2 linked regions of the Diceros bicornis minor genome follow. Each later gene encodes a partner of the first gene's protein in a complex. Links are inferred from orthologs where the notes say so. Each region holds a gene or a part of one and is shown on either strand. Other genes may lie near its edges. The genes, in order: XRCC1 and APLF.

What was found.
Region 2: the proteins of XRCC1 (region 1) and APLF are in contact, whole or in part, in a crystal structure (PDB 5W7X), measured with the Homo sapiens proteins. The link is inferred for Diceros bicornis minor from reciprocal best matches to the Homo sapiens genes XRCC1 and APLF. Residues at the interface, in NP_006288.2 of Homo sapiens: Pro514, Tyr515, Ala516, Gly517, Ser518, Thr519, Asp520; in NP_775816.1 of Homo sapiens: Arg27, Gly28, Pro29, Gly32, Ile33, Thr34, Lys36, Arg37, Val38, Ser39, Arg40, Arg41, His58, Asn60.

What each region holds. Positions count from the first base shown.
Region 1 is NC_080773.1:18,183,885-18,200,264, reverse strand, and holds the start of XRCC1 (DNA repair protein XRCC1), read left to right. Parts: upstream 1-9,085; 5' UTR 9,086-9,191; coding exon 9,192-9,242; intron 9,243-9,653; coding exon 9,654-9,746; intron 9,747-16,380. Other genes in the region: PINLYP (phospholipase A2 inhibitor and Ly6/PLAUR domain-containing protein), read right to left, coding at 5,254-5,408, 5,593-5,736, 5,978-6,130, 6,738-6,854, 7,848-7,905. UniProt on the Homo sapiens protein: Scaffold protein involved in DNA single-strand break repair by mediating the assembly of DNA break repair protein complexes. Negatively regulates ADP-ribosyltransferase activity of PARP1 during base-excision repair in order to prevent excessive PARP1 activity.
Region 2 is NC_080751.1:19,796,723-19,812,308, forward strand, and holds the start of APLF (aprataxin and PNK-like factor), read right to left. Parts: upstream 6,061-15,586; 5' UTR 5,851-6,060; coding exon 5,755-5,850; intron 1-5,754. Other genes in the region: FBXO48 (F-box only protein 48), read left to right, coding at 8,409-8,714, 9,462-9,623. UniProt on the Homo sapiens protein: Histone chaperone involved in single-strand and double-strand DNA break repair.

The sequences.
Region 1 (16,380 bases):
CCAGCTACATGTAGAGGAGAAGCCACAGGTCACTGAATCCTTCAATGTCAAAAACAGAAAGGGGGGACCTGAGGGGCTATCCAGTAGAATCTCTTATGATAGATGCGGAGAGCAAAGCCCAGAGAGGGCAGGCTCTAGGCCCAGCAGCACATAGCAAGGCCCTATGTGGTCTGGCCCCTGCCTGTTCACATGCTCTGCCCTACCTTATCCCCCAACCAGCTTGACAAATCTTCCTACTGATGCTTGAGTGGGCCACCTTGGGTCCTACCTCAGGGCCTTTGCACTTGCTGTTCTTTCTCCCTAGAATGCCTGGCTGTCTTATCAGTCACGTCTCACCCTAACTGCCCCTCAGAGAGGCCTTCCCTGACTGCTCTAACTGAAGTAGCTCACACACCCCCATTATTCATCTCGGCCTGTTAATTTTCCTTGTAGCAGTTATTACAATAGAAAATCACTTTATTTATTTATTTATTTACCTGTTTATTGGCTATTATTCCCTTGCCTGTGTTGTTCTCTTCTGTACCCCCAACACCTAGAATAGTGCTTGCCATATAGCAGGTGCTTAGTAAATATTTTAATTCATTCATCAGTGGCAGAACCAGGGCTGGAATTTAGAGTGCCGGCCTCTTGTCACAAGACAGGGAAAAGGAGCAAGATGGGGGGAGAAACAAGCATCTAATGGGAGAGAGAGCCCTTGTCTGAGGTCAGGAGACCTGGGAAGCAAGCGCGGCTTTGCCACTGTCACTCTGGGTGACTTGGACCAGTGCCTTATTTTCCCATCTGTGAAATGAAAGGGCTGGACAAGAACCATACGTAGGTATGGTTCTAGACCCTGTTTCCTCTGACGGCTGGGGACAAGGGTAACCGATCTGAGGGGCAGATACTCGAGGGATGGTAACCCCATCTCCAGCTTGAGCGTTCAGGCCTCTCCATCAAGTGTGCCAGCCATGTGGAAGAGAGGGAGAGCCACCAGGCAGCGCTGTCCAGTACAAATAGAATGTGAGCCACGTATGTAATTTTAAATTTTCTTGTAGCCACATTAAATTTTCATGTAGGCACATTTAAAAAGTAAAAGGAGGGGCCGGCCCCGTGGTGTAGCAGTTAAGTGCACACACTCTGCTGCTGGCGGTCTGGGTTTGGATCCCGGGCGCGTACGGATGCACCGCTTGTCAGGCCACGCTGTGGCGTCGTCCCATATAAAGTGGAGGAAGATGGGCACGGATGTCAGCCCAGGGCCAGTCTTCCTCAGCAAAAAGAGGAGGATCGGCATCGGATGTTAGCTCAGGGCTGATCTTCCTCGCAAAAAAAGGAAAAGTAAAAAAAAAGTAAAAGGAAACAGGTGAAACTAATTATCATGTTTTACTTAACCCAATATACCCAAAATATTATCATTTCAACATGTAATCAATATAGAAAAGTATTAATGAGATATTTTACATTCTTTTATGCTAAGTCTTTGAAATCTCGTGTGTATTTTACACAATTCAGGTGATAACTTTTCATCAGAAATACCTGACCTCTATTTAGATTTCATAAAACTCATATTTGGAGAAGTAGATTCATATACCCAAGTTGTCCCAATTATATTGAATAGTTTTCCAATAATGGAGATGAGTGTCAATTTTTAAGTTAATTAAAAGTAAGCAAAATTTAAAATTCGGTTTCTCAGTTGCACTGGCCACATTTCAAGTGCTCAGTAGCCACAGGTGGTGAGTGGCTACGGCACTGGACAGCACAGACCTGGAACATTTCCGCTATCACAGGAAGTTCTATTAGCACAGCTCAAGGGTCAGACAGTCCTTCTCCTGACTTTGGGGGTGACCTTGGGCGAGTCACTCAGCAGATGGCATCTACCTCACAGGGTTATTGTGAGAAATCGGTGTATGTACGTATGTACATGCATTCTCTGTCATGCATGTCAACATACCACAGCCCCTCCTGAGAAGACTGGGAGCTCAAAGGTTAGTCTCCTTGCCCCTGCCCACGTGCCCTCAGGCTCCAGCAGCACCCAGATGAGTCTAGTCTGGGCACCTTCTGTCTCAGCCCCATGCCTTTGCTCACAGAGTGCCCTCCTCTTTTTCTACTGCTTTGACACCATCTCTGATTTGGTTCTGTGTGACTTCTCTGCCCTGTGCTTCCTGCTCCAAATCCCCTCTGTCCTCACGCCAATGGCAATCATGCCAGAGCTCATATCAGAGAAAGCAAGACCCACTTTTGTTTGCATGCATCTGTCCACTGGAGTGTGCTGATTATGTGTATATAGTTATATATTGGCACTCTTGGGTGTCTACTTTTTGGGGTGGTTGCCTTTTAAATCATGACTTGCAATGGGATTGAATTTTAGGCTTTGTGGAAGCATAAGGTTGCTAGTGAGGCATCTGTCTCTGGGAGCATCCAAGCAGAAAAGACTAAGACTCCCTTGTGGACTGATCGCTGGCTGCCATCAGGGTGTGTCTACGTGGCATCTCCAGGCTGGAAGACCCTCGAAGGCAAGAATTCAAGGAAATGTATGATGACTCTTAGTGTTGCCATTGCCAGAAGCAGAATAGACACCAAAAACTCGAGTATGAGACAGTCTCATCACCTGAGCTGAGTTTTGTACATTTTTGGATAATGATGGAGGGACTTGTGTCCACTGGGGTGGGGAACCATGCAGGGTGAATGAATCAAGGGTGTGGTTGGTCTGTAGTGCTTTTTGGAGGAGTGAATAAAAATAAGTAGAAATCCCTTTGTTTGTCTGTTCTTTGGGGATTTGAAAGGGAAAAAAAGATACTTGGGATTTTGACTGGAGCTGGAAGCCTGGACCCCTGGATCTGAGGGAGGAGGGGCTGGGGTCCTGGACCCCTGGATCTGAGGGAGGAGGGGCTGGGGGCCTGCACTCCTGGGTCTGAGGGGAGAGGGGGCTGGGTTTTGGAACCCTGGGTCTGAGGGAGGAGGAGCTGGGGGCCTGCACTCCTGGGTCTGGGGGGCGAGGGGGCTGGGCGTTGGACTACTGGGTCTGAGGGAGGAGGGGGCCAAGGGTGGGGACTCCTCGGTCCTGGGAGAGGAGGGACTGTGGGGGTCTGTATAGGAAAGACTCCTCTGGGCTGGAATTGACGGACTTGGATCTGAGTTTTGCCACCCTGGGAGGGGAGTGGACCTGGGACTGTTCAGACCTGGGGACTTGTGATGGTAAAGCATCTTAGCTCTGGAACCAGCCTGGCCCATTGATGCCACCAATTTGTTCAGCTTCTCTGTAGCCATGAACTTGGATAGTCCCTTATCCTGACTCCGCACTTGGCCGTGTGATTTGCTTGGCCAGCGGGACAAGAGCAAACAGGACGCAAGCAGAGGCTTGAAAAGTGCTCATGCCTTGGGGCTCCCTCTCTTGCTGCCCTCAGGACCCCTGCCACCACCGCCACATCAACAAATCCAGGCTGACCTGCTGGGTGATAAGAGATGTGGCCCAGTCAGCCTTGACACTCCAGCCCACAGGCAGCCAACCCACTGAAACAGAGCTGCCTAGGTGACAGGCAGCTGAACCCAGCAGAGACCTGCAGAGGAACCACCTAGCTGATCCCAGACCACATTGGCAACCAGTAGAATCATGAGCTAAATTAAAGGTGATTGTTCTAAGCCACTACATTGTGGAGTGGTTTGTTATGTAACAAAAGATAACTAAGACAGGCTTGTTCCCTTTCTCTGTGATGTGGTCTCTTTCCCCCTCAACATGACTCAATCAATACAACCTTAAGCTCTACCACTTTTTTGCTGTGCAACCTCCAATGTGACATCCCTCCTCTGAGCCTCCAATTCTTCTCTTGAAAGCAGGGATGAGAATAATAATAGTGCATATCACATGGAGTTGTGACGATAAAATGAAAAGCAGCCCCTAAGAGGCCACAATGGCCATTGGTGCTGTTTATGAAACATGTCCATGTCCCAGGGCAGGATTGCACTTCTTGGTCCCCGTGTGGTTTGGTGGGACCACGTGAATAGTCCCGTCCAATGAGTTGTGTCAAGTCACTTCTGGGATTCATTTAATCACCCATATGAGACTTTCCTGTGCACAAAAATTGGCCATGTTCAAGTATAGCCACTCTGTCTGTGATTATGATGAGCAGACGCCCTGTGGATGGTGCAACCATGTGGGGTGAGGGAAGAATCAACCTTTCATGCATGGGTACTTGTTCACAAATACTACCCCGCTCCTCCCACTGGACGGGGAGTACACTTGCCTGCTCCATTGGTGTTGGCTATGACCATATGAGTTACTTCACTCCATGGAATGTTAGCACACCAGATCTCAACAGGGGCCTTAAATACAGTTGGCTTCTGTGCTCCTGTGATCTCTCACAAGAAGAACGTTAGCCAGGTAGCCACTGATCCCAGAAGATTGTGGAACCCCATGGAGGAGAACTTGAATCCTCTTCCCAGACTGGAGCCAAACCATCCAATGCACAGCCAGAAGCAGAGCCACCCCAGCCACCCACAAACGCTTAGAAAGAAGAATGCTTGTTGTTACAAGTCTCAGTTTGGGGATGGTTTGTTACACAGCATCACTGCAGCACTGGCTGACTAATGAAACTTTGTTGTTTTAAACCACTGAGATTAGGGACTTGTTACTGTAGCATAATCTAGTCTGTCCTGATTGGTGACAATATTTAGCACCAGCCAACTAATGGCCACCCAGTAAGTGGCAGCTATTATGATGATTACTATTTAGTCAGACATACTGTCTCTAGAACTGCACTAAGTGCCTTTTTGGTTTTCTTTCATTTGACTCTTACAGCAACACTCTGAGGTTATAACTATTAATATCCATATTTTGCAGACATGAAAACAGAGGCAAAAAGAGGGAGAGGTTATTAGTAGAGGTGATCCTGGACTCTGGAGTCTGACCCTCCCTAGCAGTTTGACCCAAAGCAAGTGACACCACAATCTGTGCCTCAGTTTGTTCATCTGTAAAATGGGGATAATAATGTCAACTACATAGAGTTGTGATTCTGAAATGAGGTACAGCATGGAAAACACTTAGCACAGGGGCCCAGCAGAGAGTAATCCCTTAATAAAAGGTAGGGTCTTCCCTCTGTTCCTTGCAAAGAGGGGGTTCCCAAGGGTTGGGAGCCCCGATGTCTACATCCCCTGCCTCCCCAGGATGCATCACATCACGAGGACTCAGGCTTGCTTTGTTAACCTTTTTAATTTATAGGCACATGGGGAGCTGCAGGCCGAGGACTAATGGAGACCACAAGCCACATGTTCCTCAGTTCTTCACTCAGCCCTGCCAGGGGGCCAGGGGGCAGGAAGGCAGTCAGCTCGGCGGAGGAAGTAGAGATAGGAGGCTGAGGGCACCTGGGCCCCAGCCTTGGCGTAGCAGGCACTCTCTGTAGCACAGCCCCGGGTAGCAAATTTGGCGTTGATTATACCTGGGAGGGGGGTTCAGGCTGGAGTCAGGGCTTCCATCCCCTCCTTCCTATGACCCAGGAGTCTTGGCCCCTGCCACTTTCTCACCCAGTCCCCGCGAGCCACCATCTTCCCTAGAACTTGCAAGTATGGGCCTCCAGTTCTGGGGGCCCTGTAACCTCCTCCAGAGAGCCAGGTGCCTCTCACCAGCCTGCACGTTGCCAGCAAAGTAGACGCAGTGGGTTTCCTGGCCAACACAGCGCGCTGCCTGGGTCCCCGGGCATGTCTCCTGGAAGGGTACAAGGCAGGCAGGGCAGTGGAGGCCGTTCTCAGTACGATTGTTCTGGGGAGCTGGGGATGAGGGTGGAGTGTAAGGTGCATAGGGTCGTTTAGACCCTTCCCCAACCTCACAACAGCCTGGGGAACACCGGATGCTAACGGACACTGCATTTTACAGGTGAGGAAACTGAGGCTCAGAGCAAGATGCTTGCCCAATGTTACAGCGCCGGTCAGTGGCAGGTCAGAGCACACACAGTGGGCTCTTGGGGCTGGCTGGAAGGGACTCCCCATGCGGGGCTGAGCTGGCACTTACGGGGCACGGAGCCTTGGTTGCAGCCGTCGCTCTGGCAGCAGTACGTGGTGGACACCATGTAGTCCTGGGAGCCCGTGGTGGTGGAGACGAAACCCGAGTAGCAGTCACTGAACTTCATGCAGCCCTTGTAGGTGTTCACTGAGTGGCGGCCCTCTGCGGGATGGGGGACCGGAGGGAAGGGCTCGGGTGGCGCTGGCCGATCCCACCCTGGCGTCAACCCCGACCTCGGGGTCTCTCCCAACCATACACCTCCCCCACCTGTGACTCTCTAGGGTGGTCTCCTCCAGCCGACGAAAGCCATGCTCCCTCATCTCCCTGGAGTACAGACTGGAGCGGATTATTCGGTACTTCCCTCACCCCCCTCCTCCCCTGGCCATTGCCTGCCGCCCAAAATGGTCAACATGATCACACTCCTCCCAACCCATCCCAGCCTCTTCCTTCTCTTCTAGCCCCCTGCCCATCTCTTGCCTATTAGATTCTTCCCCTCTCACTATCTCTCTGTTCCCCCGTGTCCTTTCCTCACCCCTCCTACCTAAGAAAGTCTCCATATCTGCCCTCCCATCTTCTTTTGAGTTCTGACAACAATGGTTTCTGTCGTCCCATTGAATTCACTTCCCTCCGTCTGCCTCGAGATAGCCTTCTCTCTTCCCTGCCCACCCACCACGGGACCCGCGATGGTCCTCCCCCCCCACTTCGCGCGGTGGTATCTTCCACCCTGAGGGCACACCCCTCCCCGGGGTCTGGCGCCCCGCGTGCCTACTCGTGCTGGACTCCCCCACGACGATCACGCATGCGTCCTTGCCGGCCTCGCAAGTCTTCGTCTTGCCGCTGCACGTGGGTCCGGAGGCCCTGCACATCTCACAGCTTAGCGGGCACCCTGCAGTGTAGAGGGTGGGGCTGTAGACATGGGTGGTGTGGTGCGGACCACGACATCGACTTCAGAGTCCAGAGGGCGATGGGGGCAGGGGGGCCGGACTTTTGGGTCCTGAGGGACAGGTGTCTCCCTCATTCTTAATGGGCGGGGCATTGAGTGCTGTCCAGGGGACTGTCCGCAGCTCTGACAGGGACGTGGTGGTGATGGCAGCAAAGCTGCTTCCAGGGGCGGGAAGCGACTCCACCAGGGAGCCTGTTTAATTACAAGGCTGGGGAGTTTGGACGCTAGGGTCCTCTGAGAAAGCTCGGGCATAGGGAAGGGTCCTGGCGAAGTTCCCGTGGACTTCTGTGCAGCTTGAGGTCCAGCTGGTTCTTGGACGTGGGACCCTCCTCCTTGTAGGTCCCGCGAGAAGTTCTTGCAGACAGTAGGAGCTCAGGCAGGGGCACCTGAGGTTGGGGTCTGCATCCCAGGTCAAGAAGGGAGAGCGAGGACCAGGGGGGCTGAGGGCGTGGACTCGGCGGTGGTCCTGAGAGAGGAGGCAACTGGGGGCCCACACAGCTGGCTCCTGGGGAAGGTGGGGCTTGCTTGAATTCCTGCATCTAAGGGAGGAGGGGCCGGGGGCCTGAACTCCCTAGAGTCCAGGGAGAAAGGAAATCTCTTCCCCTCTCTCCATCTTTTTTTTTTTTTAATATTTCTCTTTCTAGTCATGCTCTCATGAGATTTTCTAGAATTCAAATGTCTTATTTCAAGACGCTGCCTGGGGAACAGAGGATTCGGAGCCCACCCAGTGCCCTCCTTTCTCAGGGATCCAATTACATAAGGTTTTGAGCCATTCCTCTCCTGGGGCCCCAGGCTCTCTCTTCCTTGAGCCTCTGCCTTCGCCATGAATCTGAATTCCCACGACACCTCCTCTTTCCCCTCGAGGACCTTGCTGAATGTTCTCTCATAGTCCTCTCTCTCCTGAGGTCCTAGGAGTCCAGGCCCCTAGTCACTTACCGAGACCCAGCAGCGTGCAGAGCAGCGCGGAGGCCAGCAGGAGGGTGGAGGGACTCATGGTGTGTGAACCTGCAGTCCTGGTCCCCAGCCCTTATAGGAAGCTGAGGAGGGGCGGGTCTGGACCCACCTTCACCCTGGGGTGATAAACAGCTGAGATAAGATCTCAGGGCAGGCCTCTGCGACTCTGGGTTGGGGCAGTGGAACCAGAATCTGAAAGGGACAGAGGCATCTTGTGCCCAGCCCCTCCTCCATGGGGACCCCAGGAGTCTGGGCTTCCAGCCCCCTCTTCCATCAAGGACCCAGAAGGTCACTTTCCAGTTTTCTCACATTCCCACCGCCCCCCCCCCCGCCTTTTTCCTGGCCTGAAGCTCAAGGTCAGAGTTAGGTCACTTGATTTCTTGTAAGTGTAGAGCAGCTGCAAGCACTGACATCCCGTCCCTCCTCTCTCTTCCCAAGAAGGCGCCCAGCGTGGGTGGGGCCCTCCCTGGGAGCGCCCAGCATGTCCAGGCTCGTTCCACGGGGGCCCGGAGCCTTGTCTCCCTTTCCTTCTCCGAGATCTTGGCTCTACTCCCAGTTCTGTGTTCGGGCTGGACCCCGCCTGGGGCTGCATCCCTGGGTCTCGCGGGGACCGAACAGAGGGGTGCTTGTCAACGGGCAGGGGCGGGCGTGGCGGGAGACAGATGCCCACGCGTCAGATTGGGAAACTGAGGCATGCGTTGAAGCACCCAGGCTGGGCGTGTGTGTCTGGTTTGGGCGCATGCTTTGTGTTTTATTTAGGTCCTTAACCCACTCTCTCTTGGCCTCAGGCGTACCCCTGAGAGAGATCAGAGATTTTTTTCGTGTGTGCGGTGGTGGGGTGGCGAAGAGTGTAGCCACAAGGAACCGGTGAAAGGGATCCTGTTGCGAAAGGCTCCCGACTGCCTGAGAAAAGCCGCTCAGGTTTGCTGTCCTTTTTTCTCTTTATAGGTTTCGGTTTGGGCGGTGATGCGTCATCCAATGAGAATGGCGAGTTTTTTCTAGGGCCCAATCCTGGGAGCCGCTCCTGTTGCTAGGCGCCCAGAAAGCAGAGTGTTTACGTCATCGGGAGGCGGGGCTAGAGAGTGGTGGGGCCAATGAGAGGCGGGGCTAGAGGAGAAGCTCGTTGCTAGGGGACTTGGCGCCTCTCTCCGGGGAGGCGCGACTGGGCTTGCGCAGTGTCGACGCGAGAGCGGGCGCGCCGCGGTTTGAAAGGCCCGAGCCTCGCGCGCTTGCGCACTTAGGCCCGCGCAGGGAGCACCCCCTCCCCGCCCCCCAAACTCGGACCCTTCTTCATCCTTCGGGCCTGGCGAAGCCCACGACGTTGACATGCCGGAGATCCGCCTCCGCCATGTAGTGTCCTGCAGTAGCCAGGACTCGGTGAGGGACTGGCGTGGGGGAGGTTGGAAGACGTAAGGGAATTCTCAGGGGGCTCTGTAAGAACTTTTGGAGTGTAAAAGGGAACTTCATGGAAGTCTTAGGAGGGTCGTGGGGGGATTTCCAGGACGCTCTAGGGAATTCTGGGAGAGATGGGGAATAGGGGAACTTCTGGGCGGCTGTGGGACTTCCGGAGAGGAAAGGAGGAATAGGGGAGCTTGCTTGGAGAGTCCAGAGGTGAACATCCAGGGGACGATGCTGTAGGGGACTCGAGGCAGAGTGGGGGCGGGGATTAACGGGGAAACCTAAATCTAGGGGGGTCATAGGGGGCTTGGGAGGACTGAAAGGAATAATTTGAGAGCTGGGGCCCGCATCTCTGTACCCTAATTTTCCCCTTTCCGCTCTTATCTTCAGACCCACTGTGCAGAAAACCTTCTCAAGGCCGACACTTACCGAAAATGGCGGGCAGCCAAGGCGGGCGAGAAGACCATCTCTGTGGTGCTCCAGGTGATCCTGCCCCCACTCCCCCCCATCTTCTTCTTCATAGGGGTCTGGAGACCCAGGGCCCGGACTCTGCTCTTGAGCCAACTGGCAGTGAGTCCAGGCACTTTGCCTTCCTTACCTGGAAAATGGGCAGCGTGGTCACTGTGCCCCTTAGCAGAGGAGGAAGGTGATCCAGGCGCTAGGCCAAGGATGACCATAGGAATCAGCGTGTGGCCCAAGTTGATGGCTTCTACCTTCTGGGCCTCAGTTTCCTCCGCCAGAACAGAGTGAATCATTGCCATGTATCCTGCCTTCTAAAGTCGGTGGGCTGCGGGCTAGAAGGTGTCTTGGAAGATCATCTAAGCCAATCAACCCCATTTTAAAGATGGGGAAACTGAAGCATCTGGAGGGGAGATGTGAAGTGGCCAGTTTAAGCTACCATTTCTGGAATGCTGGCCAGGCTCTTTCTGGGGGCCTTTGTCCATGCTCTCACCGAATCTGCACCATAGCCTTGTGAATGTGGAGGGAAGCAAAGAGGAAAGGGTGGTTTGACCTGAGATGGTTACAGAATTCCAAACAGGCTGTTCCTGTCAGGGATAAGAAACTGGTGGGAGAAGAGAGCTAAGTGTGTTTTAAGCATCTGCTCTTTACCAGGTGCAGGCCTGGGTGTTTTATCTGCACAAGCTCGCTCTTTACAAGAGCAGTATCGTGTAGGGACCGTTATCACCGTTAATAAATGGCAGTACTAAGACTTGAACCCATTCTTGGTGCTTTTAACCACTCTGTCATACTGCTTTGTATTCACACGTTGGCTTTCTTGATTTTGGCCATATTCCTTATTTCTGAATGTAGGGGTGTTTTGGAGGATGTTCGGGGGCAAGGCTTACATGATTGTGTTGAACATATTCTTGGTCTCTCTCTTGCCCCATGGTTCTGAAAAACTTTTGAGTCACAGAGCCTTTGAGAATTAGAGAGAAGCTGACGATTCTCTTCTGAGGAAAAATATACAGACCTACGAGATTTTCTGAATGATTTTGGGACTTGAAACATCTCCTAAGTCCCTAACATAGTAATAATAATGAGAGCTAACATTTATTCAGTGTTACAACTGCCAGTCACCATTCTAAATGCCTCACATGGATTAACATTGAATCCTCATAAAAACTCCATGACCTAGGATCTGTTATTATCCCCATTTTACAGATGAGGAAACTGAGGCCCAGAGAGGTTATACAACTTGCCCAGAGCCAATACTGTAAACTGAGGGAGATACAGGTTGCTGACAATTTAGTCTTGGAACCTGGATTCAAGTCCTTAGCTCTCCCTCTTACTCACTCTGTGACCTCAGGCAAATTGTTTTATTTCTCTGAACCCGTTTTCTCATCCGTCCATTGGGAATAATGAGATCTAAGCCCAGGGCTGTTGTGAAAATCCGGTGACATAATGTCTGCAGAAGTGCTCTGTGAACATGTAAGTGTTTGTGTAAAGGGAGGGATTCCTGTTATTATTACTGAGTGATGAATCTGCAGGGCTCTCTTATGATCAGGTGACCCCAGGAAAACCACATTCCATTCTGTACCCCAGTTGCAGTGGAAGCAGAAAGACCAGAAGCAGGAGAGACAGGACATGGCGGGATGAGGGAGCCAGAGAGGCCAGAACGAGGCACAGGATTCTCTGGCCTGGAAGATTGAGGGAGGTATCGCAGCTGTCACTGAAACCCAGAGAAGGAGCAGCTTAAGAAGGTGATACGTTTGGTTGGGATGTCCAGGTTTGATGTGACTTTGGGACATCAAGGGGCAGCATCCAGGAGGCAGTGAGGAGTCAGGCATGAAGCTGGAGACAGAAGCATGGAGACTGTCAGCACAGGGACAGGACCTGTAGACTTGGGAGTGAATGGATTCATTTGTTCATTCATTCATTGAATAATTATTTACAAAGCGCCTTCTCCTGGGCCAAGCACTGTTTTAGGGACTGGGGCTATATAGCAGTGGACAGACAGACAAAAATAGATCGGTGCTCTGGAGCTTCACATAGTCGGGAAAGACTGAAATCAGTAAGTGAAACATACGTCAGATGATGAGTGCTGTGGAGGAGAATTAAACAGGTAAGAGGAATGGGGAATGCCTCAGCTGGGGGAGCAGGCAGTGGCAAGAGGTTTTTATTTAAATAGTGATCCAAGAAGGCCTCTCTGAGAAGGTGACATTTTTGCAGAGTGAGCTATGCAGACATCTGAGGAAGAAACACAGACTCCAGGGCAGGCTGGTGCCTGGCGGGCTGGAGGAACAGCAAGGAGGCCAGTGTGGGTGGAGTGGAGTCAGCCAGGGGGAGACAAGTAGGAGGTGAGCTAATGGGGTGGCGGTAGAGGGCCCCCAACACACTTAGGGCCTGAAAGCCATTGTAAGGACTTCAGCTTTTACTGGAGACGAGATGGGAGCCGCTGAAGGGCTCTGAGCAGAGGAGGAATGACTCTGACTTAGGTTCTCAGAGAATCCTTCTGGCTTCCACATTGAGAATAAACTGCAGGGAACAAATGCAGGAGCAAGCAGCATCGCAGCTGTTGATAATTTATCCCACGTTAGAGACTCTTTGGAAAATCTGATTGTATTTGGCACTTGCCAATATGCAGGGTGACTCCAAATTCACCGAATGCTAATTTTGGTTCTTTTCAAGCAAGTGGTAAGGCAGAAATTTCCGGACACCAAGACACGTAGACTGATCTGTGGGTTTTCCTACTACCCTGAATTTTCTCCTCCAAACAATATTATGCAACCTCTGGGTGTTACTACATGGGGTTCAGCCTTCTGCTCGTGACAGCCCCACATGCCTTTTTTGTTCATGGTAGCCACAGGAGGCTCTGTCGCCAACTCGTCACCTGCTCCCAGAGAGTGCCAACCTCTCTGCTAGCCGCTCCTGGGCCTAAGGGGACGACTGGGATGCAGTCCAGGTGTAACTCTGGTGCGGCACTGGAGGTGTGTTCTTTAGAAGAAATGTTTGACAGCAAGGTGACACACGTTTTGTTTTTATTTTTCAGTGGTTTTCTAATCACTCAGTTTGCCATCATGGTGTTTTAAATTTGTTTTTACCTTCTTTTGATGTGTAACGTGTACAGCAGAGTGCACAGTTCAGTGAATCCTCGCAAACTGCAACCTCTGACTCCACACCCACATCAAGTAACAGAACATGCCCGGCCTCTCGACACCCCTTGTGCTCCTTCCTGTCGCTACCCCCGCAAGTGTAATCACGGTCCTGATTTTTAACAACATAGATTTGTTTTGCCTGGTTTTGAATTTTATATAAATGGAGTCACGCAGTATATACTTTTGCATCTGGCTGCTGTCACTCAACATTATGCTGTCATGATGTTGGTTCATTCTCATTTCTGTATAGTATTCCATTGTTGGAGAGAGCCATTGTGGTTTTATTAACTTTACTTTTTGAATGGGTATTATGTGTATATGGTGCAAAATTCAAAAGGCACGAAAGGGTATACATGGAAAAGAAAGTCCCCCTCGCCACCTGCCCCCATCGCCTCCTGCTCCCTCCCCCGACTCCTGCTACCCAGTTCTTCCCTCCTGAGGCAACCACTGTTAGTGGTTTCTCGTGTGGCCCTCCTGGGTCACTGTACACATATAAGCATATACATCCACCCTACCATCCCTTTTTAAAGTACATAGTATATACACTGTTCTCTCCTTTGCTTTTTTTCCAAATAACAGTGTATCTTGGAGATCCACTGTCACTGCAGAAAGTTCTACCTTTTTCTTTTAAATTGTACGTAACCTTTCATGGATGTGGAACAATTTTGTAACATGATGTCTCCCAGGAACTTTGCACGCCTTCCGAGTCCCATTTGTTTCACTGTCATGAATTGTGTCTTCCTGAGAAAGGTGCACACAGACCCAGGCCACAGATAACGGTCATCTGGGGCTTAAGCCCTTCCCTTCACAGCTGACACTTACTGAACACTCACTTCTTTTTTGAGATAAAATTCATATAACGTAAAATTCACCATTTTAACCAAAGTGTACAATTCAGTGGTTTTTAGTATATTGATAATGTTCTGCAATCATCACCACTATCTAATTCAGAACATCTTCATCACCCCAAAAAGAAACCCTATAACCTTAAGCAGTCACTCCCAATTTCCCCCTCCCCAGGTTGCCCCTGGCAACTACTGATTTTTTGTTTCTGGATTTGCCTATTCTGGACATTTCGTAGAAAAAGGATCATACTATATGTGGTCTTTTGTGTCCTGCTTAAAGGTTAGCATAATGTTTTCGAGGTGCCTCCGTGCTGTAGTGTGGATCAGTGCTTCATCCGTTTTTATAGTTGGGTACTATTCCATTGCATGGGTATACCATACAATGTGTGTCCATTCATCAGGTGATGGACATTTGGGTTGTTTCCATATAACTGTTTTTATGAGAAATTTTTTATTTATCAAAAAGAAGAAATACAAAGGAGTATATATATGTGTTTAAAGTAGAAGTAGTTATATAGGCAATAAGAATCATTCATTTAAAATACAGATGCTACAGTAGTCCTCCCTTATCCGAAGTTTCGCTTTCCTCGGTTTCAGTTACCCATGGCCAATGGCAGTCTGAACATATTAAATGGAAAATTCCAGAAATAAACAATTCATAAGTTTTAAATGTCACGCTGTTCTGAGTAGTGTGATGAAATCTCGCGCCGTCACTCCATCCTGCCTGGGATGTGAAACATCCCTTTGTCCAGTGTATCCACACTGTATACGCTCCCCGCCCGTTAGTCACTTAGCTGTCGTGGTTGTCAGATCAGCTGTTGCAGTATTGCAGTGCTAGTGTTCAAGTAACCCTTATTTTACTCAATAATGGCCCCCAAGCGCAAGAATAGTGATGCTGGCAATTTAGATGTGCCAAAGAGAAGCCGTAAAGTGCTTCCTTTAAGTGAAAAAATAAAAGTTCTCAACTTAATAAGGAAAGAAAAAGAATCGTGTGCTGAAGTTGCTGAGGTTGCTGAGGTCTACAGTAACTTTTATTGTAGTATATTGTTACAATTGTTCTATTTTATTATTGGTTATTGTTGTTAATCTCTTACTGTGCCTAACATAAATTAAACTTCATCATTGTTATGGATATATAGGAAAATATAGTACATATAGGGTTTGGGACTATCTGTGGTTTCAGGCAGCCACTGGGGGTCTTGGAATGGATCCCCCATGGATAAGGGGGGACTGCTGTATATACAGCCTACTAGATGTAGGGCCTTGTGCTTTATATTATGGGAGAAATCAAGATGTTGAGTTTTTACCTCAGGATTGAAATAGGAGAGTTGAGAAAAAGTGTTGGTTTATAGTCAGGCAGTTGGGTCCACATTTTTCTGCCAGTCATTAGCTGTGTGTGACATGTGAGCTATTTATTTAACCTGTCTGAGTCTCAGTTTCCCCATCTGTAAAACTGGGATAGTAACAGACCCTTCCTCCTAAGGTGCTTGTGAGGATTCAGTGATGTCTGGCCCAGGAAGAGCTTAGCCAAGTGTGGTAGACAGAATAATGGCCCCTAAAAGATGTCCACGGCCTGATGCTCAGAACCTGTGAATATGTTCCCTCACGTGGCAAAAGGGACTTTGCAGATGTGATGCAATGTCTTGAGATGGTGAGAGCATCCTGGAGATCCGGGGGGGGACCCAGTGTAATCACAGAGGTCCTTATAAGGGAAAGAGGGAGGCAGGGGTCAGAGTTGAAGGGGGAGATGTGAGGTTGGAAGCAGAGGTCAGAGTGATGCCATGCTGGCTTTGAAGATGGAGGAAGGGGCCATGGCCTCTAAAAGCTGGAAACAAGGTAAGGAAACATATTCTCCCCTGTTACTTCCAGAAGGAATGCAGCCCTGCTGACACCTTGATTTTAGCCCAGTGAGACCAAATTTCAGACTTCTGACCTCCAGATCTGCAAGAAGTGTTGTTGCTTTTGGCCACTAAGCTTGTGGTCATTTGTCACAGCAGCAGTAGGAAACTAGAACACAAAGCGCCTGGCACACAGAATCTGAAAATGTTAGCCAGGATGGTCCTTTTGTGACAGATGGGGACACTGAGGCAAGTGACTCACCAAAACCACTGGTCAGGGAGGGCGGAGCCAGAGTTACAACCCAGGGGGCATTTGTTCCTTTGTCAGATGGTTTCTGGGGCTTCCTCTCCATCTGTGCATCCATCCATCAGGAATGTATTGAAGGCCTCCAGGGATAATAGTATCAGCTGCCACTTAGGGAGTGTTTGCTCTGTGGCAGGCTCCGTTCCAGGGATTTTGTGTGTGTATGCCCTGTTTGAATCTTCCCAACAACTCTAGAGGTAGAAGTTGTTACTGTCCCCATGTTACAGGTTAGGAAACTGAGGCCCAAGGGGTGAAATGAAACCATTTGCTCTAGGGTCACACAGCAGTAAGTAAACAGAGCTGGGAAGGACCAGACGCTGTCCTTGGCATTGGGGACACAGTGGGGAATGACTCAGATATTGTCCTTGCCCTCGTGGAGCTTAAAAGTCTAGTAGAGGAGACAGATGCTAGACAAATACAAATAGAAACCGTAACTGTATAATGTCAAGTGGTGACAATGAAGAAAAATAAAGCAGAGTTAGGGATAGAGAGTAGCACATAGTAAGAGGTGAGGGAGCCTGCTCTGGTTGGTCT
Region 2 (15,586 bases), on another chromosome or scaffold:
GCAGTAACATCTTGCAAAACTATAATACAGTATCACAACCAAATACTGATATTGATACAGTCGAGATACAAAACATTTCCATCACCACAAAAATCCCCAATGTTGCTGTTTTATAGCTATATCCAATTCCCTCCCTGCTCCTCTCCTCCTTTTTTTTTTTGAGAAAGATTGGCCCTGAGCTAACATCGGTTGCCAATCTTCCTCTTTTTTCTTTTCTCCCCAAAGCCCCAGTACATAGTTATATTATATGTGGGACGCCGCCTCAGCATGGCTTGATGAGCGGTGAGTAGGTCCGCACCCAGAGGACAGAACTGGTGAACCCCGGGCTGCCAAGTGGAACACGCAAACCTAACAGCTACACCACTGGGTTGGCCCCTCTCCTCCCTTTTTTAAAACCTGGAAACACTGATCTGTTCTTCAGTTTTATAATTTTGTCACTTCAATGATGTTATATAAATGAAGTCATACAATATGTAACGTTCAAGACTGACTGTTTTCACCCTGGATAATCCCCTGGAGACTCCTCCTGCTGTAGAACCTTTTATTTATTGGTGCAGATCATGAAACAGAATTACAACCTAGTAAAGTAAATAAAGACCTTGGGTTTGCTGACGAAGCACACTAAAGCAAAGGGCACAAGAAAAGTAAACTTCCCTGTGCACTGTTATCTACGAGTGTTCCTGCCACTGTAAAGACATAAAGACATTCTCACTGTCAAATTGTTTTACCACCAAGACTGTTTTACACACTGGAATTACAAACGTTTATGCTTGTGTGGCCAATGAACTTTTGTGAAACTTATCTCCAAAAAACATGGCTAGTTAAGTGAGAGACTTCAAAAACCATCCTTATTATTATTAATCATTTCAGATGGATACAAATTTACCATGAACTTCCTGAGTTTTCCCACTTAGAACTAAGTCTTTGCTGTCTCACATTAAAAAAAAAGAATCTCACTGGAATAGCTATTGTTTGAAACAACAGCCCTCGTGTTGAGTTTTACCCACTGCAGAAAAGAAACACATCTGTCTGTCAGCTCCAAAATCTTAAAAACTGTAAGGTGATTTGTTTGTTCTTTAAGTTTTTCCTTCAATGCATTTAGGATGTTGTTCATAACCACTTCTAATATCTGCCAAACCTGGCAAGAGAATCTCATCACTGAACGATTATTTGGAAAGGAAAAGTAAAATCCTGACCAGATAATTAACTTTCTACTCCTTACCATTTTTTTTTTTTTTTTTTTTTTTTTTTTTTTTTTTTTTTTGTGAGGAGATCAGCCCTGAGCTAACATCCGCCAATCCTCCTCTTTTTTTGCTGAGGAAGACGGCCCTGGGCTAACATCGGTGCCCATCTTCCTCCACTTTATATGGGACGCCGCCACAGCATGGCTTACCAAGCAGTACTTCGGTGCGCGCCCAGGATCCGAACCAGCGAACCCCGGGCCGCCGCAGCGGAGCGCGCGCACTTAACCGCTTGCGCCACCGGGCCGGCCCCTACTCCTTACCATTTTTAAAAACAGAAACCAAATAGGTCATCTCACATTAGCAAGCCTATAACAGAAAGATGAAGCTACAAATAATGAAACGGACTGCAACACGTTGCCACGTTTGTAAAATAGAGGCCCAAAATCCATCTGTCTTTAAGCCAGATCCACAGTGTTCTGTGTTGGTGATACAATTTATTAAGCAAATCAAAACTCATCAGTCACCACACATAACATTTCCAGATGAAGCACATACTGTGTTAAGTTTCTAACTTAGATATAGATAGAGAGACAGAGAGAGAGATACAGAAAGAGAAAGAGAGAGAGAGAGAAAAGAGAAAAAGAAAACCTCCCAGGCAGTCCCTTCAAATGTCTGTATAGGTTAATAAACTATGGAGAAAAGTAATAGAATGCTATTTAAACATTTAAGTAATTACTTGTCCAGTAAAAAACATAACAGCAGGTGAACTTCAACTTTCTCAATAACCTTACTGCATATACATATATGTACACACACACACACACACACACACACACACACACACACCCCTTTAGGACTGACTTTCCCATCACAACCTTGAACTACCACTCCTTTTCCTGCTTTGAGAAGGGTCCTAACGCTAATATCAACGGTTCTATTTAGACACTAGAGGTTAACCAGGATAATATTCCACATTCCTTACTCCCTGGTATTAGCTCAGTTACACAGGTTTGTCTCCACAGTTCAAGAGAAAACTCCTAGAGGGCAGGGACCCAGATCTCACTCATCTTTGTATGTTCCACAGTGCTAGGGCCTGCAAAACGTGCTGCACAAAGTGGGCACTAAACAAGATATGCTGAATGTTAAGAAAACAATACATATGTATTTAGGGAGAGATCTACAAAACTCCTGAATGCAAGAGGCAAATTTTCTAACTCCCAAATATCCCAAAGAAGGTGGAGAATATAGAGCTTAGAGGTACTGTGTGTCCAAAACCTTATGTGTGCCCTTTAAATAACCAATCTACGCCTCAATTTTCTCATCTGGACAATGAGGATAATAACAGCACCTAACTCATAGGGCTTTGAAAGAATTAAAGAAGTTGGTATATGTAAAGTCCTTAAATCAATGCTTGGAACACTACACACTACATAACGGTTAGCTACTTATATTACCAAAAAAGACTACTACAATAAAAGTAAGGACCACACAGTCACACAAAAAGGGCCAAAAGCTTAAAAGAAATTATTCTAGAAAAGATAAGATCACCTTCAACAAAATATTAGCAAATCAAATACAACAGTACATTAAAAGGATCATACACCATGATCAAGTGGGATTTATTCCATAGATTCAAGGATGGTTCAACATCAGCCAATCAATCAATGTGATATATACCACATTAACAAAATGAAGAATAAAAATCACATGATCATCACAATAGATGCAGAGAATGCAATCAACAAGACTCAGCAACCATTTATGATAAAAACTCTGAATAAAATGGATATAGAAGGAAAGTTCTCAAGACAATAAAGGCCACATATGACAAACCCACAGCCAACATCTTACTCTATGATAAAAAACTGAAAGCAATACCTCTGAGAACAGGAAGCAGACAAGGATGCTCACTTTCACCACTCTTACTCAACACAGTATTGGAAGTCTTAGCCAGAGCAATTAGGCAAGAAAAAGAAATGAAAGGGATCCAAATGGAAAGGAAGAAGTAAAACTGTCACTATTTGCAGATGACATAATTTTATATATTAAAAAAACCTAAAGAATCCACCAAAAAACTATTAGAAATAATAAACGAATACAGTAAAGTTCCACGGTACAAAAATCAACATACAAAACTGAGTTGCATTTCTATACACTAACAATGAAACAGCAGAAACAGAAATCAAGACTACAGTCCCAATTACAATCGCAACAAAAAGAATAAATATCCAGGAATAAATTTAACCAAGGAGGTGAAAAACCTGTACACTGAAAACTATAAAACATTGTAGAAGGAAATTGAAGGAGACACAAAGAAACGGAAAGATATTCCATGCTCTTGGATTGGAAGACTTAACATAGTTAAAATTAAAATGTCCATACCACCTAAAGCAATCTACAGAGTCAATGCAATCCCTATCAAAGTCCCAACAACATTTTTCATGGAAATAGAACAAAGAATCCTAAAATTTATATGGAACAACAAAAGACCCCAAATAGCCAAAGCACTCTTGAGAAAAAAGAACAAAGCTGGAGGCATCACACTCCCTGATTTCAAATATACTACAAAGCTACAGTAATCAAAACAATGTGGTACTGGCACAAAAACAGACACACAGATTAATGGAACAGAAATGAGAGCATAGAAATAAACCCACACATTTACGGACAGCTAATATTCAACAAGGAGCCAAGAGCATACAATGGAGAAAACAAAGTCTCTTCAATAAATGGTGCTGGGAAAACTGCACAGCCACATGCAAAAGAATGAAAGTAGACCATTATCTTACACCATACACAAAAATTAACTCAAAATAGATTAATGGGGCCGGCCCTGTGGCTTAGCGGTTAAGTGCGTGCGCTCTGATACTGGTGGCCCAGGTTCAGATCCCAGGCGTGCACCGACACACCTCTTCTCCGGCCATGCTGAGGCCGCGTCCCACATACAGCAACTAGAAGGATGTGTAACTATGACATACAACTATCTACTGGGGCTTTGGGGGGAAAAAAAAGGAGGAGGATTGACAATAGATGTTAGCTCAGAGCCGGTCTTCCTCAGCAAAAAGAGGAGGATTGCCATGGATGTTAGCTCAGGGCTGATCTTCCTCACAAAAAAAAATAAAAAAAAAATAGATTAATGACTTAAACGTAAGACCTGAAACCACAAAACTCCTAGAAGAAAACATACACAGTACCCTCTGATATCAGTCTTAGCAGTATCTTTTTGAATATGTCTCCTAAGGCCAAGAAAACAAAAGAAAAAATAAACAAACAAGATTACATCAAACTAAAAAGCTTCTGTACAGGAAAGGAAACCATAAACAAAATGAAAAGACAGCCTACCAACTGGGAGAAAATATTTGCAAGTCATATTTCCAATAAGGGGTTAATATCTAAAATACTTAAAGAACTCATACAATTCAACAACAAAAAGAAACTAGATTAAAAAACGGACAGAGGATCTGAACAGACATCTTCCCAAAGAAGATATACAGATGGCCAAAAGGCACATGAAAAGATATTCAACATTGCTAATTATTAGGGAAATGCAAATCAAACCACAATGAGATATCACCTCACGCTGGTCAGGACAGCTGTTATTAAAAAGACAAGAAATAAGAAGTGTTGGAGAGGATGTGGAGAAAAGGGAACCTCACACGCTGCTGGTGGGAATATAAACTGTTGCAGACACTACGGAAAACAGTACGGAGACTTCAAAAAATTAAAAATAAAACTACCATATGATCCAGCTATTCCACTTCTGGATATTTATCCAAAGAAGACAAAAACACTAATTTGAAAAGATATATATGCACCCCTATGTTCATTGCAGCATTATTCACAATAGCCAAGACTTGCAAGCAACCTAAGTGCCTATCCATGGATGAATGGATGTGGTATACACACAATAGAATACTACTCAGCCAGTAAAAAAAGGATAAAATCTTGCTATTTGCAACATGGACGGACCTTGAGGGTATTATGCTAAGCAAAATAAGTCAGATGAGAAAGCCAAATACCATGATTTCACTCTTATGTGAAGACATAGAGAAGGAGAACACATTGGTGGTTACCAGAGCAGAAGGGTGAAAAGTGTAAATTGCACATACAAAAAAAGTAAGATCAGAGGTTGGCAAACTTTTTCTGTAAAGGGCCAGATACTACTCCAGATACTGTGGCTTGTCAGGCCAAGAGGCACTATCCTCAATCCCTGGAGCAATTATTCTCTCTGAAAAGCTAAGAGGTTTTTTATTTGCTTATATTTTAAAATTTGAGAACCATTCTTAGTTCTGGAAAAGCAGGCTGGATTTGGACCCAAGGTCATAGTTTGTGGGCTCCTGGATAAGGTTATAATGATAACATAAGTCAGTGCTTTTTAAAGGCAACATAAGGAAACGTTTGTGAGTTGATTCAAGTTGACTGAAAAACGTGCTGGCCCCAAACTTCTAATACCCAAACAGGCAGAGCTGGCGTGGTGAGGAATCGGGCCAGGGCGGGGAGGGGGGCGTTGGGAGCCTGCAAGGACCTCCCTCGGCTGTCCGGGTCCGGCCCAGCCCCGGGCCACACTTACTCCCAGCAGCGGCCCGCGGCCGATCACCGTCTCCCCTGGCGCCAGGGCCACCCGGGGGCCGCCGTCCTGCGGCTGCAGCTCGAAGCCCCCAGACATGGCGGCGAGGATCAGGCCCCTTCACAAGGAGATGGACCCCGCGACCGTTTCCGCCTTCCATGGACAGGCGCGGGACCTACGCCGGCCCCCGGAAAAACACAGGGGGAGGGGGAGCAAAGACTCGGCTCAGCCGTGTCCAGTCCCCGCGCAGCAGGGGCCCCAGAGAGGTGTCCCAGCCCCGCCTTTCCATTCCGACAAGCTACGCACTCAGCGATTCCCCCATCCGGCGGGCTCAAAATTATCGTTTGAAAGCCCCGGTTTAATCCCCCCACCCTTTCTCACTCCCCCCGTCCGGGCCTGGAGGACGCCGGACCTTGTAGTCCCTGCCGGCTTCCTTCTCCTCCCCTGCCGAGCTGAGACGCCCTGGTAAAACTACCAATCCCAAAAGGCAGTGCGCGTTCCTCTCTACGCCTGTGCGACATCTGAGTCAGCAAGGCCGGGCTAAAGTGGGCGGGACGTGAAGGACCATGGCGAAAAATTCGAATTGCGGAGGATTTAAATCGCAGGAGGAGAAGCCGCCGCGGCCCAGTAGGTAGGAGGATCTTCCCTGCCCGCAGACGTCGGGTGGGCACGACCGGGGGCGCAGTCCTGGCGCCAGCGCAGCCTCGCCTCCGCGGCCCCGAGCTGCGGTGACAGTCGGTGCTGACAGTTGTTATTGTTGTTCACTTGTCAGTGCCCCGTGTTCTTTGCACTCGGGCAGGTGCAGCCTGCGCAAGGCACGCAAGGAGGGTGGCTCAGATGGGACTTGGGGTCATTCCTTTGCGACCTGCGTGGTCTGGACCGGGTGGGGCCTCCTAGAGAACCAGGTGGCGCCCCTCCGTCTTGTGCTGCCCTCGACCCCTCCCTCCGTGTGACACCTGAACAAGGGGCGAGCTCATAACTGATTAGAGAGGTAATTCAGCAAAATTTGGTTCATAGAGAAGAAGGGGCAGAAGAGGGATAGTTTTCCAGGCTCCAGGCAAAACTGGGTTTAGAAGAAGATGCCTAATAGGATTTTAGGAACTTCACCAAGGCATCCCCGACTGTTCAAGTCAAAAGCCTTCATCTGCCTCCTGTGGAGTAACTGTAACGGGAGAACAGTAACATTCAGTTTATTCCCCAATGAGATCCTGGGAGAAGTAACAAACATTTAGATGCACAGTAACCTTCTCTTAATATGAGATTCTTTCCAAGAATATGGTAGTTTGGCTTTGGTTTGTATTAATGGCGGGGACACACACACACACACACACACACACACACACCCCCTTGCTCTTGATTCATGAACTTATTTTTACCAGTTTACTTTCTTACTTCCCCAAACCCTCAAGAGGAAGTCCTCTGTTGAACTGAGACATTAAAAGTCTAACCACCATAGCTAATTTGGATCGTAAGCAACCAAATGAATGAATGGGAGCAACTGTGGTCTTGGCAAGTCCAGAAACATATAGGTGAGTAGTGCATCTAGAAAGGGGAATTGTCATTAGCTGAGTTAAAAGAAGTATTTAGCTGTATCTGAAACCGCACCTCCTGCAGTGCCACCCCCCACCCCGTTATAAAAGGAAGTGCAACATAGAATAAACTGATTTTAAATAAATATTAGTTGTTTTAAATGCAAAAAGAGCTCCATGCTTTCAACTGATTTCAGAAACCTGCAACATGCACCTTAGGTAAACTAGCTGAAACTGGACTTTAAATCTTTAGTCACAAGCTATACCTAACTGCATTATAAACGTCGTTTATAGTTGTTAGTCACTGTTGCTTGATGGCCTAAGTAACTATTATCTTTAGTTCATAATTAACTTGGCATGTAGGATAGCTTCAGGAGGTCATTTTTAAAACACTAATCTTATAACTGAATTGAATATTTGAGACTTTGTGGCATTAAAACCCAGGCCTCAACCTCTTGTCTATTTCAGATAGTATTTGCATCAAATGTGAGAATTTACCCACTAGATACAAGTAGATAAATAATTCTTAGATAAACTACTAAAAGTCCATCAGGTTTATGCTTAAGTCACAAATTGTAGATGAAGAACTTAATGACAAGGCATCAGGTCCCACAGACATCAAGTTTTCAAGAGTTTAATAGAATTGAATCATACACATTTTCAAAAGTATTTTTAATAAATATTTGAAATTGAATGTGTTCTCACAATAGTCATTTCTACTACTAAAATCAATAAATTATATCTGTGAAGAATCACTTCTCTCTTTTTTTTTTCTCATTTCTCGTTTTTAGGTAATGTTCTTTGGGAGCAGAAAAATAAATGTTTAGAAACAAACCCGTTTACTAAAAATATTTAAAAAGAAGAAGGGAAATAACATATGTTGAGTGCTTCCCATGTGCAATTCCAGTGTGAGGGCTGGATGTTTTACACATTATCCCTGTTAATCCTTGCAAGAACACACAGGAGAAGAGCATCATTCGCCCTATTTTACAGACTGAGAAGCTCAGGTCAGGAAAGTTAAAGTTTTCTAGATCATACCCAGAAAGTATCAGGGTTGATCTGAAGAAACTAAGTTAAAACTTTGCCTTTTAGGTTACATATGAGGATAATTTACTAAAACATCACGCTATGCAGAAAAACTCCAAGAGAAACAATAATTCAAGAAGTTCTGACATAGACTTGAACTCTGTGGATGCTGAGAAGGCAAAAAAAGAGAGTCAAAATAACTTTGTTGAACTGCTGCCTCCAGAAGTTACTTTTAAAATTTTCAGTCAGCTGGACATTCGGAGTTTGTGCAGGGCTTCAATGGCATGCAGGAGCTGGAATTACGCAATAAGAAACAGTGACTCTTTATGGAAACCTCATTGCTTGACCGTAAGAGCTGTGTGCCAAAGAGAAATAGATGATGATCAAAAAAGGGGTTACTCCTGGAGGGTAAGTTTAATCTTTGTAGTCTACGGTGTGCTTGACAAGACGGTGGTAGGTTTGAGCCAACTGCCTTCTACTTGGAGGAGGCAGGGGTTCATATACACAATGACATACAGAGTGTGTTGGCTTTTAGTGTTAAAGTTGAATTATTCTTCTTTTCCTGCAAACCACACTGTCTCCCATCCATCTTTTTACATTTTTTTACATCCTAAGTTCGGCCATTTTCCCCCGTTAACCAGAAGGAAAGTGGCTACTTCTTTTCACTCCTCCTTATCTAAAATCCTCAGCAAACTCTGTGGTTCACTCTTTATATATATACACTTATACACACACATTTATGAGTATATATGTATATTAATGTAAATACTCATTCTTTTTAGCCCTGTCCATCAGCTTCTCTAGTTTCTCTTTTTTTTTTTTTAAGGAAGATTGGCCCTGAGCTAACTTCTGTTGCTGATCTTCCTCTTTTTTTTCCTTTTTTTCTCCCCAAAGCCCTCCAGTACCTGGTTGTATATCCTAGTTGTATGTCCTTCTAGTTCCTCTATGTGGGACGCTGCCTCAGCACGGCTTGATGAGCAGTGCATAGGTCCACGCCCAGGATCTGAACCAGGGAACCCCAGGCCATCGAAGCGGAGCGCACGAGCTTAACTTAAGCGCCACGCCACTGGCCCAGCCCAGCTTCTCTAGTTTCAAACAAACTCACTAACCAACCGCCTACTACATTTTTTAACGATGATGGTTTACCTCTTTCAGGTAATACTACTGAGGAATTACCAGAAGAGTAAAGTGAAATATGAATGGTTAAGTGGCAGATACAGCAACATATGTTCTTCTGTTAGCCTACCAGAAAAAATCATGTACCCGATGGATGCAGATACATGGGGGGAGATTCTAGAAGCAGAACTGGAAAGATAAGCAGAAAAATCACAAACATCTCATAAATTTGAGAGTTTAAAATGACTCGTAAGTTGCAAAAGGTATATCTTTATCCATTCAGTTTTTTTGTTCACCTTTTTAATGTTTAACATTTAAAAGAAAACTAAGTGGAAAATATGATAAAAGTAAAGCTTTGTTTTTATTTTGCACTTTATTAGTAAAAAATATTTTTCTGGTTTTATTGTAATGTGGAAAAATCATGAAATGTTATTTATATAAGAAATACTGTACTGATAGAGTGATTTCAAAATGTATTGTTTCATGTATTTGTATTAGTATATTGCAGTACTTTAATAAAGATAAGAGAGTTTGGTATTTTCTGCATAATAATAATTTAAAAATTCAGGAAACCATTCAAAGAAACTGACTTAGAGAATCATTAAGTAGTAGACATAACGAGGCTCATGGGAAGACTACCTAAATGAAATTAATAGCAATATGTTTAAATGTATAATAAATTTTTATTTCAGTAACTTAAAAATTTCCACTTCAGTGGAATCAGATTGAATTGTCACACACTGAAACCATTTTAAAATGTGTTTAAAAACTTGTGGTTTAGTTTAAAACTAATCTGACCAAATGGCTAAAACTTGTGAGATTAAGATCCCGTTACTTGCCTACAGACCTGGAATTGCTCTCAGGGGCTGAAAATATGTGGAAAGTTTCCAGAATACTTAACTGCCATCAGAACTGCCACACTGTTTTTCTTGGTGAAACTTTCTTTCTGACAGCCTTACGGCACCATCTAGTGTACTACTTGTAGATAACCAAGACAAAGGACTTTCAGCTCCTTTCTGTTTTCTCCACATTTAAAAGAAAGAAAAATATTTTAGAGAACCCTATATACCTAACTTTGTTAAAGTTTATAGTTTTCCAGGAACCTTTAATTCGTTTTGTTCTCTTTTTCTTAAAAGTAGATGATATAGGGGCCGGCCCGGTGGTGCAAGCGGTTAAGCGCGCGCATTCCACTGTGGCAGCCCCGGGGTTCGCTGGTTCAGATCCCGGGCGCACACCGACGCACCGCTTGGCAAGCCATGCTGTGGCGCTGTCCCATATAAAGTGGAGGAAGATGGGCACGGATGTTAGCCTGGGCCCAGTCTTCCTCAGCAAAAAAGAGGAGGATTGGCAGATGTTAGCACAGGGCTGATCTTCCTCACAAAGGAAAAAAAGAAAAAAAAAAAAAAAAAGTACTATACCAGATTGTTCTGAATCTGTGGTCAGCACCATAGTAAAAAGTATCTACAAAAAAATTTTAGTTAGTATGGGGTTTTCTTCCAAAAGTGTGCTCGATAGCACAAAAAATGAGAATCCAGGAAACCAGTATTTAACAAATAGGCAAATATCGGAGAGATGCTCCACTCTATACAAATTCCCATTATTGGATCAAGCACCTGATGGTTGGTTGTCTCTGACTGTCTTCTTAGAGTTGGAAGGGGCCAGTCCAGTCTCTAGGACTATTTGACAATTCCATCTATAGGAATGTTCTTCTCACCCACCAGTAATTCTTTTCTTGGCAAACTCTTTTTTAGAACTTATCATCTTGACCTGGAAACCATCCCTAACTTCTATCATTCTAGATTAAGTGGCCCTCTTAAGATTCCTGTAGTTCCTTGTGCACACCACTCTCAAAGCTGTCGTGCTACTTTAAATTGTCTGTTTTATTTGTCTGTTTCTCCGTTTAGACTGTGAACTTCTTAATGGCAGGGACCATTTATTTATTTTTCTACTCCTCAAACCTAGAACATAGTAGATAGTCCATAAAGATTTCTTAAATTATTTCTATATTATTTATTTTAGTCCTACCCAGAATGTTTAATAAAAATAATATGCTATATTGTTAGCGGATAAGACTGTATTGAAATGCAATGTACAACCTGTAAGATGTATGGGATGCTTAATATTAATGCTAATATATGAATAATTGTTCTAGTCTTCTCAAAAGCTGTAAGAGAAAAATAGGAAAGTAGAAATTTTTTGTTTTATTTTCTTTAATAAACATTTGAAAATAAACTTAACCCAAAAGTATCACTTATTATTTTTAATTATTGGGTCACCCCAAGCAGTTTTAAGTATTATTTTGCAAGTTATGTGAATAATCTTTAGTTTGAATTTTAGTACTATAGCATTAAAATAATTTTTTGTATAATAAGTTATAAGCTATGATCACCGTCTACACTGAAAGGAAAGTTTGGGAACTTAGTGATAAATTTTATGGTATGGACTTAGAATGAACTGTGCATTTATCAGACCAAGCCATTAGCATCTGAGTACATGAGTGGGTGGAGTAGAATGGAAGGAAGGAGTGCTCTTACTCATAGATAAAATGACGTTACCTATACACAGTTTGTAAAAAGAGGCAAGATTATTGGGACAGAGTATTAAGGAATTTCCACTGTTGTTTAATATTTATTCAGTTCAAGATCTAGTGTTTTTTGTTTTTTTTTTTTTTAGAAACCTTTCTTTAGTTGCGTCTAGTTTATAACCCAATCTTAGACTAGGACGTAATCATCAATAAAATCTATAAGAATATAAGCTTTAGACCTTAGAATACTCATGTATATACAAGCCTAATTTGAAAAATATACCCTAACCATTTTAATTTCATCTTTACTTTGACTTTATATAATATGTTCTTTCCAAACCTTCAAATGCCCCAATAATATTAACAAAAATAGGATGGGTAGTAACATCAGGAAATGGTTTGGGAAGAGTAATACATATGATGGAAAATCACACATTTTTATTTAAAGTAGAGTTGAAAGACCAAAATGATCAAATGGATGAAATTAGATCAACAATGGACAAAGACGATTAATTATAATAGCCAACATTTACTGAGTGCCTACTCTGCTACAAGCATTGTGCTTGTGTGTCTGTGGGGTGGGGGGAGGGTACTGTTACTCTATATCCATTTTATGGATGAGGAAACTGAATTTTGGAGAATAAGCTTATCTATCTAGTTCATCACTACTTCCCAGCACCTATAAGAGTGTGTAATACATAGTAGGTACTTAATTAGTTTTTATTGAATGAATTAAAAACTTAGCTGAGAATGAGTAATTCAAACGAGACAAGACTGTTCCTCCAACTTTTTATTTTGAAAAATTTTGGACCCCCAGAAAAGTAAATATATGACAAAAAACTCTCATGTATCCCCTTCACCTAGACATAGCAGTTGTTAACGTTTCCACATTTGTTTTATTTATCATTTATTTTGGCTGAAGCATTTGAAAATAAGTTGCACAATGATGATACTTCACCCCTAAACCCTTCAGCATGCGTCTCCTAAGTACACTCGCCGGTATACAATATCATTCTCACATCTAAAACTTTTTAACTCAATAATACCATCTAATTTATAATCCCTATTTAAATTTCCCCAATGGCCCCCAAAAATATCTTTTATAGATTTTTTTTCCGATTCAGAGGCCAAACAAAGTTTACATATGCATATCATTTTTTTATGCCCCTTTAATCTGTTTTAACCAGGAGCATCCTCCAGCTTTTGGTTTTGTTTTTCAGGATATTGACCTTTTTTAAAGAATTCAGGCTGGTTATCTGATAGAATGTTCTATAATTGATTTCTCTGATTGTCTTTTTATGATTTGATTCAGGTGAAACATATTTAGCAATTATACTGCATAGGTGATGTTACATACTTCTTATTATATCGCATAAAGAAGTGCACGATGTCTGATTGTTCTACTATGTGAGCGTGTAAGTCTGATCATTTGAATGAGGTTGTAATCACCAAGTCTTTCTCTTTAAAGGGATATTTTTCCATAGAGCCAAGATTTCTTTTTTCAACAACCCGTTTCTAGAGTATTCATTCCCCTATGGCTACCCCTATGCTAATGCTTTATTAATATTATCTTATTTCATCTTCACAATTGATTAGACTTTCAAAGAACACAGGAAATCATCTGCTAGTTCTTTTTCAGACAATCTAAAATATAAATGTAAAAAGAAGATGTAAAGCCACTATTTAAACCCAAATCTCATTGACTACACAGACCAACCTTTTAACCACTAGAATATAGTGTCTTTTATAATTTCGACACTTAGTTCCTACATTGAGGCAACATGAAGGACTAAGACTAACAAGGAACATCTCCCATTACAAACATCTAGAAAATCTGAGGGAAATTATATTAAATACGTGGAACTTAACATTTTTGCTAATGGCAGAACAGATAATCTGATAAGCCTTCCTACTTAGGACAACTTGAAAACCTGGGGAAAAAATTTAATCTACTTGAAGGCATGATAGAGCTAACAAGATAGTAAAGAAATATTGGAACAGTTTCTGGGGAATGAAAGAGAACCAGAGAAGTAAGCCCATGATTGAGGTTAATCTTGCCGTGGGAGCATTGTAATTTCTGCAAAAGCAGCTGAGAGATTAAATAGATTTTGAAATCCTTTCAAGGCTATGAGGACAGTGAGTGGAATCCAGGACTCACTAAGAGAAGGGGAACTAGTAACCCCCCTCCTTAGTAATCTCCATGCTTGTAGTTTGGGACCCAAGACCGCCACACCCTAGGAATGGGCGTGAGCTGGAAGTACACAGGACCTCACGGGAAAACCAAGCACCTTCAAAATATCTCAGTCTCTGAATTTGGACTCAGAGGATCCCATAATAATAATGCCCTAGACACCTGGCAGAAGCAAAAACAAAAAAAGGCCTCCTTGGAGAAAAATATCAACATTTTAGGCTTTACATTATCTCTATGAACATTTTTAAAAATCAGTGTCTGATACATGCACACACACATAAAGAGACACAATAACGAATAAAAACAAACAGAAAAACAGACAATAGAAAAGGTCCACAGTTGGAATTACCGGATGAAGTCTCCAAAATAACAAAATTTAAAGTAATCAATGAGATAAAAGTCATGTTGGGAATTTCAGCAGAGAATTGAAAATAATAAAAAGAGCCAAATGGAAATTTTACAACTGAAAAATAAAATGACATATTAAGAAAGCAATAGGTGGGTTTAACAACAGATTAAACCCAGCTGAAGAGAGGGGAAAGCATTAGTGAATCTGAAGATAGGTGCAAAGAAAATATCCAGAATGAAGCAAGGAGAGAAAAAAGATGAAAAATACAGAAGACAGGAAAGCAGGAAAACATTAATAATAAAGTGAGAAGGTTTAATATATGGGCAATTAGAGTCCAAGAAAGGAAGGAGGATAGAAGGAGGCAGAAGCAATTTTGAAGTGATGACAGCTAAAAACTTCCCCAAATTGAGGAAAGACCTCAAGTCACAGATTCAAGAAGCCATACAATCTGCAAAGATGATAAATAAAAGATATACTCACTAAGCTATATCAGTAAATCTGCTAAAAAGTAAAGGCAAGAGAAAAATGAAAGCAGTCAAAGGAAAAGGACAAACTACCTCTAGATGGGCAGTAATTAAATGGAATGATTTCTCCTTAACAAGAAAAGGAATGTTATCTTCAAAGAAACTTTCCAAAGAAGAAAACTACCAACCTAGAATTCTGTACGCAGAGGAAATGCTTTTCAAGTAGGAAGGTGAAGCAAAGACATGCTCATGAAAACAAAAACTGGGAGAGTTCTTCATGAACAGACTTGAACTAAAGTATGTATCTGGGGCCGGCCCCATGGCCTAGCGGTTAAGTGTGCGCGCTCCACTACTGGTGGCCTGGGTTCGGATCCCGGGCACGCACCGACGCACCGCTTGTCCAGCCATGCTGAGGCCGCATCCCACATATAGCAACTAGAAGGATGTGCAACTATGACATACAACTATCTACTGGGGCTTTGGGGGGGAAAAAAAAGGAGGAGGATTGGCAATAGATGTTAGCTCAGAGCCGGTCTTCCTCAGCAAAAAAAAGAAGAGGATTAGCGTGGATGTTAGCTCGGGGCTGATCTTCCTTACAAAAAAAAAGTAATAATAAAGTATGTATTTAAAAGGTAA